4 linked regions of the Oryzias latipes genome follow. The protein of the gene in region 1 interacts with the protein of each later gene in a pairwise test. Links are inferred from orthologs where the notes say so. Each region holds a gene or a part of one and is shown in the gene's direction. Other genes may lie near its edges.

Region 1 (3,688 bases):
GGAAAGAAACTGTTCTTGTGTCTGGAGGTTCTGGTCCTGATGGACCTTAGCCTCCTGCCTGAAGGGAGTAGTTTCAGTAGGGAATGTCCAGGGTGGGAAGGGTCGGCAGCTATCCGGCCTGCACGTCCCCGGGTTCTGGAGACATATAGTTCCTGGACAGATGGGAGGCTGCAGCCGATCACCTTCTCTGCTGAGCGCACAATACGCTGTAGCCTGTTAATGTCCCTGGTTGTGGCACTAGTGTACCACACGGTGATGGAGGAGGTGAGGATGGACTCAATGATGGCCGTGTAGAACTGCACCATCATCTGGGCCGGCAGCCGGGCTTTCTTCAACTGCCGCAGGAAGTACATCCTCTGCTGGGCCTTTTTGAGGAGAGAGCAGATGGATGGCTCCCACTTGAGGTCCTGCGTGATGGTGGTGCAGAGGAAACGCACAGAGTCCACTAGGTTGATAGGAGAGTCTGACAGGGTGAGAGGGGGTGAGGGGGGTGTGACTCTCCTGAAGTCCACGATCATCTCCACTGTCTTCTGGGTGTTCAGCTCCAGGTTGTTGATGCTGCACCACGACCCCAGCCAGTCCACCTCCCTCCTATAGGCAGACTCATCATCATTAGAGATGAGTCCGATGAGGGTGGTGTCATCTGCAAACTTGATCAGTTTGACAGAGTCATGGCTGGAGGTGCAGCAGTTAGTGTACAGGGAGAAGAGCAGAGGGGAAAGTACACAGCCCTGTGGAGTTCCTGTGCTGATGCATTGGGTGGTGGAGACATTCTTCCCCAGCCGCACACACTGCCTCCGGTCCATTAGGAAGTCAGTGATCCACCTGCAGGTGGAGTCAGGCACGTTGAGCTGGAGGAGCTTTTCCTGGAGCAGAGAGGGGAGGATGGTATTGAACGCAGAGCTGAAGTCCACGAACAGAATCCTAGCATAGGTTCCCGGGGAGTCCAGGTGCTGCAGGATGAAGTGTAGGGCCTGGTTGATGGCATCGTCTACAGACCTATTGGCTCTGTAGGCGAACTGCAGAGGGTCCAGGAGGGGGGAGGTGAAGGATTTGAGGTGGGGGAGGACCAGACGCTCGAATGACTTCATGACTACAGACGTGAGTGCCACAGGCCTGTAGTCATTGAGGCCAGTTATGCGGGGGTTCTTGGGGACAGGGGGACAAAAAATGTGTTTAGCGGACCAAAGGTATTGTCATACGCATGGATATAGTTTACTGTAAAAGGCTTAAGCATAGCGAGATGTCGGCCCTTTAAAAGCTGCACATACCAGTGTTGTGGTGGCAGCATTATGGCGAGGGTTCAAAGCTAATGGAAGGATTAAAACACGCAAATCAGAAAGGTGAACATCATCTCCACAGGACGCTGAAGTAAAGTTATGTCAAAGGTTTCTTTCATCTTTCCCCTCATTTTGTGAGTTCTTGAAGAAGACTATGTGACGGTGCTGTGATGTTTTCTCTGAAGCTGTTTTCTGTCTCCGTCTGTGCAGAACTCTCGCTCTGATAAAGCCAGATGTTGTGACTAAGATCGGGGATGTGATGGAATTGGTTTACTCCTCCAACCTGATCGTGACCAAAGCTAAGATGACCAGACTTTCATGGTGAGATCACGATGACCCTCCAGATGTGCTGGAGCAACCTGTCAGACATTTACTGACATGATTCTTTGGATGTAGAAAAACAACAGTGGACTGAACTTTAGGAAACTAAAATGTGAATGGATTTGACATTCATTCTGTTTACTTGTTTGTTTGTACACATATTTCATTTACACTTGATTATCTTGCAAGAAATACAAGGAATCTGGAAAACGTCACCTGAACTTTTCAGTACCAGGTATTTATCTATGAGTCACACTGGTTGAATATGTTCTGGATCCGTTTTGGGTCAGTGAATCGGTTCCAATCGGATTCTTTCAAAATGAACCTGTCATGATTTGATTTTGTTGTCTTGTTTTTGGTCCTTGTTCTGTCTTGTTTCTGTTTCCTGTTTTATTTTGAAAGTCTCCTGTCTTGTCTGGTTTCTTGAGTTTTACTTCCTTTGGTTCCCATTCAGCCCTGATCGTGTCCACCTGTGTCTTGTCTGCCCTGTCTGTATATAAGTCTTGTCCCTGCCTTCCTCCTGTGTTGGTCCAGTACCCCTGTTATGGTGTTCATGCCTTGTTCCTTGTCCCTCGCCATGCCACAGTAAGTTTTAGTTTTGTTTTGTCATCCTGCTCTGCAGCGCTTTTTGTTACTATTAAACCCCTTGCCCTTGAACCACGTGCCCCTGCCTCTGCATTCTGGGTCCTACCGGCTCTCGAGCCCCCCTGCACCTTGACAGAATGGACCAACCAAATTTTCTGGACCCAGCAGAGCAGGACTAAACTGGGAGCCGTCTCGCCATGAGGGGGGGTCGACGTCGCCGTCGTCCCCGCCGTCCCCCACAGTCACGTTCAGTGGTGGTCCGGGATGCACCACAGCCACGTTCAGTGGTGGTCCCGGATGCACCACAACCTCCCCCAGTGGTGGTCCCGGACGCACCACAGCCATGTCCAGTGGTGGTCCCGGACGCACCCCAACCCGTCCCGGCTCCCAGGGGGGTGCCGCCTGCACCCCGACCCATCCCAGCTCCCAGGGGGGTGCCGCCTGCGCCCCGACCCGTCCCGGCTCCCAGGGGGGTGCCGCCTGCGCCCCGATGGGTCCCCGGTTCCACTGCCACGCCTGACCCGCCTGAGCTCGGCTCCACGCCTGACCCGCCTGAGCTCGGCTCCACGCCTGACCCGCCTGAGCTCGGCTCCACGCCTGACCCGCCAGAGCTTGACTGCTGGCCCGACCCACCGGAGCCTGACTGCTGGCCCGACCCGCCGGAGCCTGACTGCTGGCCCGACCCGCCGGAGCCTGACTGCTGGCCCGACCCGCCGGAGCCTGACTGCTGGCCCGACCCGCCGGAGCCTGACTGCTGGCCCGACCCGCCGGAGCCTGACTGCTGGCCCGACCCGCCGGAGCCTGACTGCTGGCCCGACCCGCCGGAGCCTGACTGCTGGCCCGACCCGCCGGAGCCTGACTGCTGGCCCGACCCGCCGGAGCCTGACTCCATGCCTGACTCCATGCCTGACTCCATGCCTGACTCCACGCCTGACTCCACGCCTGACTCCACGCCTGACTCCACGCCTGACTCCACGCCTGACTCCACGCCTGACTCCACGCCTGACTCCACGCCTGACTCCACGCCTGACTCCACGCCTGACTCCACGCCTGACTCCACGCCTGACTCCACCACGCCTGACGACTCCACCACGCCTGACGACTCCCCCACGCCTGACGACTCCACCACGCCTGACGACTCCACCACGTCTGACGACTCCACCACGCCTGACGACTCCACCACGCCTGACCTGCCTCGCCGGACCGCACGGCCCCCCGGCCGTCCTCCGGACCTGCCTCGCCGGACCGCTCGGCCCCCGGCCGTCCTCCGGACCTGCCTCGCCGGACGGCGCGGACCCCCGGCCGTTCTCCGGACTCTTGTGCCCGTCGAGGTTTATCCTCCGGGGCCCCCCCCTCATGTGACTTTTGGAACCTCGGAGCGGTTCCTTGAGGGGGGGGTACTGTCATGATTTGATTTTGTTGTCTTGTTTTTGGTCCTTGTTCTGTCTTGTTTCTGTTTCCTGTTTTATTTTGAAAGTCTCCTGTCTTGTCTGGTTTCTTGA
Region 2 (3,688 bases), on another chromosome or scaffold:
CATGAATAACACATCAGTTTCAATGTGTTATTTCTCTTAATTGAGGTTTGTTTCTCGTGTCTTTGGTCCTCAGGAGGAGCAGAGCTCAGTTCCTCTGTCTGAGCTTCTTGAGGTGACCAACACTCTGCGCAGCCTTGGCAACCACTACTTCAGCTGTAGCCAACATTACCGGGCTAAAGGCAGCTACAAACAGGCAAGCTGTTGCAGTTTTTTGTCTTCTGACCTGCTGAGGGCCACATGTCTGTGTGTGGGGCCTGGGTATTGGACCCCAAGAATTGTTAGTGCAGTCTTGCTTATGTGGTAAAATGGTTTCCACTAGAAAACAATAAAAACAAACAACTCTACTGCTGAAAGACAAATGAACACAGACATCCTAAAATACCACCATGAGAATGTATTCGGTCTCACCAGGGCCCAGATATAACCCCACCCACAAGTTCAACGGCTGACTCCCAGGCTCAGTGCAAAGTCCTGACGTTCATTGGCAACATCCTTTAACATTAGTAGCCATCAATGCCTTTTTGTCGTCCGGCCTCCGGTTGGAGTCCAAAACTATAAAGTCCACAGTAGCACAACGTCACGGCAATGAGTCCGCGGCGCAAACCCTGACTTTGCTGCTGTAAAATGACAGCCAGCAGATCCACCAGCTAAAGCAGCAAACAGAGCCTGCAAAATAGCAACAAAGAAATAAAATTACACTGAAAAGAATAAACACGGGGGCGCTGTGGATCATTGAACATGTGAGACGTGTTCATATTTTACACCTTTTTTTAGTCACTTGCACGGCGCCAGGTCTTGCTTTTTCCGCTCCGAAAATTCGTCTGAATCACAACATCTTGAGGGAAATCTGAGATGGGGAAATCAGGCCGCAACAAACCTCCAGCCTCACCTGAGCTGCCCATCGACCCCGCCTCGGATGCTAGCGATCGTATGCTAGCACGCATGGAGGGAATGATGGAAAATATGCGGGCGGGAATAGTCAAAGAGTTCGAGCAGAGCAATCCTTCAAGGCTTTTATTAGAGGGGAGATAATCTTTTATATTCACTATGAACAAAAACTGAGGCGTGACAAACTGAATGACTCGAGACAGCAAATATTACAGCTGGAATGCTATGAATGCAGTCTCCCCTTCTCCAAATATTTATAAAGAGGGTCTCTCTCTCTTCAAGCTGAATTTGACACCCTTATGACATATCGTACTACTGAGCTAATGCTTCAGTCCAGTACCCAGTTTTTGAACATGAAGATAAAGCAAGCAAACTTTTGGCACACCAAATTAGACGGGTTTCAGCCTTGCAGCAAATCTAAAAAATTCTAACCCCTTGGGGTATTACTACAGAGCCTTCTCAGATTAACCAAACCTTTAAAGAATTTTACGAAACATTATACATGTCTGAGGCTACACCAACAGATGTGGACTTTGGCTATTTTTTTTTTCAACATTGAGAATTCCTACCGTCGATCAGGAAGATGCCAATAATTTGGGCAGGACCATTTCATTGTCGGAAATTAACACGGCAATTCTGTCTCTCCAAGCAGGTAAATGTCCAGGCCCTGATGGCTATCCTTCAGAAGTTCATGGATAAGTTAGCTCCGCTGTTATTAGACATGTATAATGAGGCATACTCTAAGGGGATGCTACCTCAGACACTTAATCAAGTCATTATTTCTCTGATTTTGAAGAAGGAAAAAGGCCCCCTCTCTTGCTCCTCCTACCAACCCATAAGCCTGCTAAATGTGGACTAAGGTTGGGCGATGTCCCTTAAATTGGCTGTTGACGATGTTTGCTGTCAACCATCGGGATGGACGATGATATCGTCGTGGGGGGGGGGCGCTGTTTTTAATTTTTCTGTCTTACATAATTGCTATTCGTTATTTTAGTTTATTACTTTATTTATTTTATTTCCCAAATAATGACTCATCCGCGATGATCCAGTATAAACTGAGGGAAGTGACTTTAACAAAAAAAAAGAACAAACAAAATAGAAAAGAATTAGTCCGTTCCCGCACTTAACTAGTCAAGTGGACGGATGGAGCGCAGATTTACAGCTTTGTGTTTGATGGGAAGGGGGGGGGGGGGGGTGCTATGTTACATGAGCGGTGTGTGTGGGAGATTTAGGACTGCGATCCGTCCCGCAGCTCTAGGGGAACGGGGTACCGAACTCAGAACCGGGTCTAAAAGTGTGTGTCTTTGAGCACAGCTCGGATCGTCAGCACACACACACACACAGCGGCGGTGTGAGCTTCAAAGCAGAAATGTCGCTCAGTCCTTAGAAACCGTTCAAACAATCACGTAGATTTGTGTTTCCAGTCGCGTCCCGACAAAATAAAGGCTGATGTTATTCCCACGTTTACGTGCAGCCAGGATGCAGATAGCAGCGCCACCCAAAGCTAATGCTGTTAGCCCGTGTTAGCATGCTACTAATTGTGGCTTCTTTCCGGCTCCGCTCTTCAACAGAAAAAGCGCTGAACACACGGATTAAAAATAAAACAGGCGAACAGGTGCTTCATAATAATCGTAACATTATTAAAAGCACGTTTAGAAGATCGTCTCGTATATTACGGAGCTGACATGTCAATGTATATAGCCGCTCGGCGGAAGTCATATCCTCAGTCATTCCGGTTTTTCAAACACTACTGTTAAAGTTATCAGGATATAAACTTAATTTGAGCAAAAGTGAAAGTTTTCCCCCTGAACTCGCATATTAATGCATCTTCCCTGCAAAATTTCCCTTTTTAAATTGGCAAATGACAGCTTCTGTGGTAGCTAGCATAACCTGCTTTCTGGAAGACCCCCCAGGTGTGCCGTGGGAGATTTCCCATTTTCACTGATCTAAAAACATTTCCATCTCCAGGATATCAGCTCTGTGTTCATCCAAACAGGCCCTGATAAAACACTGAGTATTTAGGAATATGAAAGATGATAAAATACTTTTTTCTTTGTTTTTTTGATTCTATTAAAGACACTTTGTTAAGAATGATGGTACCGTGATTTAGCCACAGCTTCAGCTCTGTTTATTTGGAAAAGTCCCGCCCCTTTAACTGTCTCCACCAATCATTCTTGGAGGCTTATTCAGACGTCATCAGTCTGACCAATCAGAAGTGGTTAAAGTCTTCACTTCCTTGTTCTGATTCTGCTCATAAAGTCTCTCAGTTCCAACAAAAATACCAGCTAAGTAGCTTTCCACAGAATCCGGTGTCAGACCGTGGAACAAGTGAACAAAACCTTGAAGCACCATTTGCGGGAGTTGGCACTACTCTTCTACACTTCCATGATGCATTGGGTTAAAGTGACAGCATCTTTGCGCTACAATGAGTCTTCCCTGTCAAACGTCTTAAACCACAACGAACACACATCAGTTTTGAAATCTTCTTGATGAAATCAGAGGTCAACAGTTTAGTTCTCCTTCCAGGTTTGTGTTTCTTAACAGCCAAACATCCCAGAGTTTAGTCCAAGTCATCTTTCTAACTGAAACACTTTTCTAATAACTTAAGAAGAAGTAATAACAGCATCTAAGAAACAGGATGAAGGTGAAGTGGCCAACAGACACAATTAAACTAAATTGAAACAATTTAATCATCTAAAAAGAAATAAAAGATTTTTGTTAAAGTTTTCAAAGACTTCAGCTTTGATTAAGACAAAAGAAAAACTAATAAAACTTCAACATGTTCACTTTTTGTGGAGCT
Region 3 (3,382 bases), on another chromosome or scaffold:
TCAAAGGTGAGGCATGCTGACCTGGTCACAAACACAGATCTCTGTTGGCGCAAAAGAAACTGCAAGCTGTTTTTTTTTCTTTCCTTTTTCCAGCAAAGGAGCAGATGCGTGTCCATCTGCGACGTCACAAAGGGGTGAGGAACTTTGAGTGCAGCGATTGTGGCTACAAGTTCACTCGGCAGGTTAGTGCAAACGCAACACTTCAGAAAAATTAGATACAAAACACCAAATAGATTTTGTTGTTTTAACATGTTTTCTTAAAATTGAAAAATACTGTATAATCAGAGAAAATATGGAGAAACAGGCAAAATGTACGTTTTTAGAATTTAGTAAATCTCTGGTTTTAGTCGATAGAAATTTTTTTTCTCATACTGTCAGAAATCGGAAAATGATTGATGGGAGAAGAAAAAGTTTTGACGTACTGACATATGTCACACCCCATGTGGGATTTAAACTTTGTTGGCCACGAAGGCTACAAGGCTTTATGAAGTTTTGCAAAGGTTGAAATTAGTGCAATCGGAGGGGGGGGGGGGGGGTATTTTTACTGCACCAGAATTACTTTACTCTGGGGTCGGGTTCATTTAGGAGGTTTAAAAACGTATCTGAACCCTGGTGCTTACCAAAGGTTATGTGAACTCTGGACCACATCAAAAGTGAACCCCGACCTTGCAAGTGAATCCTGGTGCAGATAACTACAGTGTGAATGCAAATATACTGTTGAGTGGACCAAAAAGTCAAAAAAGCGAACCAAAGCGAGTGGTAGGTGTAAGAGCCATGTCATTCGGATAATCTGTTAATAAAAATGTTTAAATTTCTTATTGGTTTAGTTTTTGTTAGTCCTTGTTCCATTTGAGTTCAGCCTCAATCGGTGTAAATGCAATCAGTTCAGAGACTTAAGAGGGAGCCAATTTCTAGAACAATAACTGTTTGAGAGGACAAAACATTCTCCTTCCTTCTTAAGGTATGTGAAAGAGTGTAACCATGAGGTGCTTGATCTGTCCGTGTTCATCCTGATATAAAAACAGGCAAACTTCAGAACAGATGGAAACACACATGCAGTGCAGCTGAAACACGTTCATATCCCAGATCATTTCATGAGGGAAGAAGTTTTGGGAATATAAAAATGTTTTAGTTTTATAGTTAAGATCAAAATCCGACTGGTTGGGGCCTAGACAATGGATTTAGTTTTGACCATTACATTGTTGGTTCCACCACTGCCACAGTGTTTGTGCTTCAGCAACTGATCAACCAACTGTTTGTCAGCAAATTTGTCATTTTTCAGACATGGAAGGAAAAACCCAACACAAATGGATGTGACACGTGTCCATCTTTCTGAGCTGTCGCCAGCGCCTTTCAAGATTTAGATTCTGCATCACAGAAAATTTAAGAAACGCAGGAAAAAAACTAAATTGTGACTGATTTTAAACAAGAATAAAGCATAAAGAGTAAATAACTAGGAATCATTTTTCTTTGTAACTTAATAAACAAAAATAATAATTTGTTCTGCACTGCTTTTCTGATATCTTTTTCCCTGTGGAAGCAATTTAGTTACTTAATTAAATAAAATTAAGTTTTTATGTTTAAAGACGCGTGTTGCAACCATTGAGTGTATAAGAACTGGACTGAGTGACTCCTCCCCCCTGGTATTCCAAACAGGAAGTACCCTCTGGCTTCAAGAAGCTAAACTCCCAGACTTCTGTAGAGAAATAAACAGCTGTTACTCAGTCAATCTATTTCTCAGAATCACCATTTCTTGCTCTGTTTTCTTTTTATAACCTGCTATATATGAAGTCAGAAGCCTCAATAAAAGCATGTGGTCTCACGTTGTACATTCAAAACGTTAAATGCCAGATTATATCAATTCCACTTTAAGTAGGGGTGTGGACTTCCAACAAGCTCACTCGATTGGCGAGAATGGTTGCTATAGAAAGAATGACTCAGACCAACCAATCACTGCCTACTGACGTCGTCTGGCTATAACACGGTGACATCTGTATAGTCAAAAAATTGCACTTTCTGTGACGTCACACTCAGTCCAGTTCTCGTATACAGTCAACGAGGAAAACTTATTTTCTTTAATTCCAAACTGTTTGTTTTCAACTATGAGGGATTTGTGAAGATGCTGTAAAAGCAGCTTGTCTTTCAGGAATCACCCCTGTCTTCCGTCTTCTACTCCAGGCTCACCTGAGACGCCACAGCCAAATTCACAAACGCACGGAGAACTACAACCCACGGCAGAGGAAGCTGAGGAACGTCATCATCCAGGATGAAGGGGAAGCCGCAAATCCTGGTGAAGCCCCGAATGTCATTGATGCCTCCTCAGACTCCACAGACCTACTGTCCGACCTGGGCTCCATTCGTATCGTGACAGTGGAATAGTGGAAGTAGTCGGTAACCAGAAAACCGGACAAGCTGAGGATGCAGGAAGCCTGTCTGTAGTTAAGTCTGCTGGACCACCAGGCTTTGGGAGGACACGGTTATAAAGAAGACTCTTCTAAACACCTGACATTTCCATCTTTTTCTCAGTAGGATTTGTGCTTGATATTAGAGATATTGATCCCTAACACAATGTTATCCAACTGACCTGAAATCTGAAAAAAAGAGAGTCTGCTAATGTTTAGACAAAGAATTCTAAACAGAAGAAATGCACGCTGAAGTAGGATCCTGCATGAAATGTAATTAATGTAACTACAGCAGATAATTAAAGTTCACCACTCTTCATCATCTTGGACTTTTTTTTGAATAAGAACTGACAATATTTGAGGTTGAAAACTACATAAGCCTACGCTGTAAAATGCATAGAAGTCTCACTCCGATCATCTTTTGATCTGTTGTCAAATCGTTCCCAGTAGTCTTTACTTAGGATCATGCAGATTTTAGGCCAAATCAATAAACCTGTATCGTTGTGTAGGACGTAGTTTGTGCAGAATGGCAGGAGTTCAATAGAAATTCATGACTAGTCAACTGCCTCGGTTCCATCTGCACCTGACTTGAGCTCTTGCTGGGGCAGTGCTTAGGGGCGGGGACCTGGGCTTGGCCGTGGGACCGGCTCTCTCTTGGGTCCTCTTTCTTTGACTGACCCCCGATCATCTGGAAGCTGTCCCCGAGCTGCCGTCCTTCCTCATTCGACAAGTTATTCGGGTGATTACAGTTTTGAGGAGGTGTGGCGGCGTCCTGTGTTATGGATAGTGGCCTTTGTTGCTTTGCTGCTAACTCTCTGGAGGTCATTGACCAGGTCCCCCCGTGTGGTTCTGGGGGTTTTGCTCACACTCTAAAAAGAAACAAGTTGATCCAACTTAATGGAACCACTTCAATTGGTAAAGGGTAATTGAATGAAGTTTATTCAACATAATTTTTTATGTCTATCCAACTCAATTTAATA
Region 4 (3,352 bases), on another chromosome or scaffold:
GAAGAAAAATACCACAAAACCATCCAACTGTGGAGACTAAAACCCAGATATAGAGGGAAGGAAAGCTGAAGTGCTGATTCTCTGAATCATTTAGGATTGTGTTGGTTGAAGGCAGAGGGCTGAAGAGGATGTCTGACTGGCAGGTCGGCATGCAGGCATCCACATTAGTTGGAGCAACAAACAATTGATGAGTGGATTATGATTTTGGCATGACACACTGCTGAGTTGATGAGATGAATGATTGCAGGCAGGTGTACAGCCTGAGAACCTGCCAGGCAGCAAAGGAGAGAGGAAGAAAGAATTACACCCAACACTTTGGTAAACAGACAGAAAAAACCTCAACGGGGAAAAGAGGCTGCAAAAACACAACTTTTTTTCCTTTAAAAAAAAAAAAGTGATCAGAAGTGTCTTTTACTCGTTCCTTTGTGCTGTTTCATTATGTTGCCCTGGAAAGGAGAATTGATCCATTGATGCACTGAAGTTGAGTTCATCCCCTGAGGTGCATTTGTTCTTCTCCTCCAGCCCTGCAGGAACGAGTGTCTGCGATTGAGGCTGCGCACGCTGAGAAAACGAAAGAGCTTGAGCTCCAGCTGCATGCAGCCCGCAGAGAGCACACCAGAGCAGGTAGATCCTCGTCGCTGCCTGTCGCAGCTCCACGTCAGAGCGCCGAGGTTTATTACTGATGCAGACTGTAATTTAATATGGTCGAATCTGTTTGCACAGTATATTAGCCGTGTGATGGAAGATCATGTCCCTGTGGCTTCTGATGTGTCTGTTTTGTCTGTTGCAGTTATGACTTTGCTGCAGTTTCAGAGACAGGCAGCAAGACAACACGATGAGATAACAGAAACTCCAAACTGGGGGGGTGAAAACACAAAACAAAATGTCCTGAATAAACATGTAAAGGAGATGGAGGGGAGCAAAAAGTTTCTACATGTAAGAACAGACTTTAAAACAAAAACGCTATACAAGAAATGTGTGTGTGTGTGTCTTTTAACGTGACTGTGCTTTAGGTCATGGCCTCTAAAGAGGCCCCGATGGCAGAACACGCACAGAGTCGAGAAACTCCTTCAGAGAAGAGGACTTCTGTTGAAGCAGAGGTCCACCTTCCTGCAGGTGCTGAGAAATATCCTTAATCTAATCGTAACCAATATTTTAGACCCTAACATTCACACAGGGCTAACTCTGTTTTCTCCAAGAGAGACTCCTGAGTGTTTTGGAGGAGCTCCACACGCTTAGCGCTGCTGTAGTAAACAGCTCTGAAGACTCTTCAGAGGAAGAACTCAGAAGTGACGACAGGAAGACTTCTGCTGACCTTCTGGACAGTCAAGACATGAAGAACTGAAGAAGTTTAACTACTGATTAGAAATATAAAAAAATAACCCTATTTTTACTCCATTAAGTTGAGCCATAAAGGCTGGAATCACTTTCATGTTGACTAAATAAAAATTATAATATTTTACATAATCTATTAGTTATTGTGACTTTTTAAATTAAAATCAATAAGAACTCAGGAAAGTATACAAACACTCGTGAATAGTGGGGCACAAACAGATAATCTTCAATAATGTACTATTTCTTTATTATTTTACTACTTTTTAAAATGTATTTGGGTTATTTAAAGGACAGTCTCGTTTCCTACTTTAATTTTGCCGTTCAGCTAAAGTAAGGATTTCCTGCAAAATGCTTTTGGGAGTTGCCTCCAAGTGTTTTCTCGTCACACACAAAGCCTTTTTTTTTCAAATTACATTTAGGCACATTGGTAAAGATTTTCTACTGTAAAAAATCTATATTTTCTATTTGACACTCCTTTATAGAGCAGTCATAAGAGCAATGAGGATAAACACCATGACGAAGCAGGTAATTGTGCTATTTGTCATGCTGTCACCAGTGCTGATAAATTCAGAAAAAGTTCAAAGTTTTAGGCCCTTTAGGTAACAATTTAATAGTCTTGATGAAGTGTAAATATACCCACTAATAAAATCGTCTTTACTCTAAGCTCTCTGACCGCCGGAGAAGTGATTCATCATTTTAAACTGGTCAGTAACTGATTCAGCTTTACTGTTCTAAAAATCTTACTTTTACTGCATATGGTCTAAGAGACCCTAGTGAAATTCAATAAAAAATTACAGAAGTTCGAAGCCTAAATTTAGGTCACGTCCTGTTGACACACCTGAAACCCATTTTTATATTTTTTTGGTTCTTTTTAATTATTATTTAAGTTTATTTGCATCTTTTGGTTGTGATGTTGGTGAATTTCTTTTGAATATTGAAGGCTGATGGTAGCTTGTCTTGCATTTTTCTCTGCAGCACCTTGCAAGTGCACAGAATGACCAACAGAGGGCAGTGTTGTCAAAGCTGAGCTCAAAGCGAACAGCCCTCTTGAAAGGAGGAAACAAAAATTAACTAATAACGTTAATCATCTAGGTTGAAAAGGTTTTGTATGAATAAGAGGATAAAAAGGTGTAGACTATATTCTAATATTATTGATTTAAGACATGGTGAAAAATTGACTAAATCAGGAGAAAAATCTAATGAATAAAGTAAAAAAAAAAGAAAGAAAAAAACTGGTTGTGTTTTACTATTTAGAGCTAAGTAGTTCTGAAAAGTTATGAAAACTAAATATTGCAAAAATTAATCACACACCTGGGAGTGATCTTCAGTCAGCTCTACCTTTCTGGCTTCACTGGCCTGTTTACTGCGATTGACTGTGCAGCATTGTTGTGAGACCCAGTTTCCCCTCCTGCTTGTCAAGTTCATTGGGTCTTATCACAGAGTACCGGGACAAGCCCAAAAGTCTTTTGCTGCAGTCTCTGGTTATCATCAGGTGTTTTTTTTTCCCCCTGTCTCCTCAACTTTTCCTAATTGTGAGTGATCCAGTGATATCAAATATATGTGAGTCAATGCACAAAAAATAATTTTGAAACTCAGAGTTTTGACCAAAACCAGATGACATTTTTACAAGCAGATTTGTGATTATTAAATGCCTTACCTTAACGTGGAGTGTGAATATATTAGATGTGTATTTTATTGTGTGGGGCGTCTTTTTCTTTTTTTTTGCAAGAATAGGGATTGGGGGTTTCTGTATTCTTGTTTGTTTTTATGTGCAGCACCTTGAGCTGTTTTATATTTTTTTACATGAAATGTGCTTTATAAATACAATTAATTTGAATTTGAATAAAACAGAAGAGTTTTTGTTTTAGAATTAAAAAAAAAAAAAATCAAAGGCTTGCTGTGACTTCCTTTCACTGAAATGAAACAAAGCATCATCCTTGCAGGATGAGTCTCCTCCTGTGTCAATCAGTCACCTTGTTGGTTTTCACTTCAGACTTGGGGGATGAGTGTAATTTAG

The links.
Region 2: the proteins of nme7 (region 1) and fkbp6 interact in binary tests that used the Homo sapiens proteins (3 or more experiments, as listed by UniProt). The two-hybrid records come from large-scale screens. The link is inferred for Oryzias latipes from reciprocal best matches to the Homo sapiens genes NME7 and FKBP6.
Region 3: the proteins of nme7 (region 1) and telomere zinc finger-associated protein interact in binary tests that used the Homo sapiens proteins (3 or more experiments, as listed by UniProt). The two-hybrid records come from large-scale screens. The link is inferred for Oryzias latipes from reciprocal best matches to the Homo sapiens genes NME7 and ZBTB48.
Region 4: the proteins of nme7 (region 1) and coiled-coil alpha-helical rod protein 1 interact in binary tests that used the Homo sapiens proteins (3 or more experiments, as listed by UniProt). The link is inferred for Oryzias latipes from reciprocal best matches to the Homo sapiens genes NME7 and CCHCR1.

The regions. Positions count from the first base shown.
Region 1 is NC_019862.2:27,538,123-27,541,810, reverse strand, and holds part of nme7 (nucleoside diphosphate kinase 7), read left to right. Parts: intron 1-1,490; coding exon 1,491-1,601; intron 1,602-3,688. UniProt on the Homo sapiens protein: Possesses an intrinsic kinase activity. Displays 3'-5' exonuclease activity with a preference for single-stranded DNA. Does not seem to have nucleoside diphosphate kinase activity.
Region 2 is NC_019882.2:22,096,779-22,100,466, reverse strand, and holds part of fkbp6 (inactive peptidyl-prolyl cis-trans isomerase FKBP6), read left to right. Parts: intron 1-73; coding exon 74-193; intron 194-3,688. UniProt on the Homo sapiens protein: Has an essential role in spermatogenesis. It is required to repress transposable elements and prevent their mobilization, which is essential for the germline integrity.
Region 3 is NC_019865.2:24,218,255-24,221,636, reverse strand, and holds the end of telomere zinc finger-associated protein, read left to right. Parts: coding exon 1-6; intron 7-93; coding exon 94-182; intron 183-2,178; coding exon 2,179-2,379; 3' UTR 2,380-2,724; downstream 2,725-3,382. UniProt on the Homo sapiens protein: Plays a critical role in transcriptional regulation and chromatin remodeling. Acts as a regulator of telomere length. Directly binds the telomeric double-stranded 5'-TTAGGG-3' repeat.
Region 4 is NC_019872.2:16,062,014-16,065,365, forward strand, and holds the end of coiled-coil alpha-helical rod protein 1, read left to right. Parts: intron 1-522; coding exon 523-624; intron 625-790; coding exon 791-936; intron 937-1,013; coding exon 1,014-1,116; intron 1,117-1,199; coding exon 1,200-1,345; 3' UTR 1,346-2,716; downstream 2,717-3,352. UniProt on the Homo sapiens protein: May be a regulator of keratinocyte proliferation or differentiation.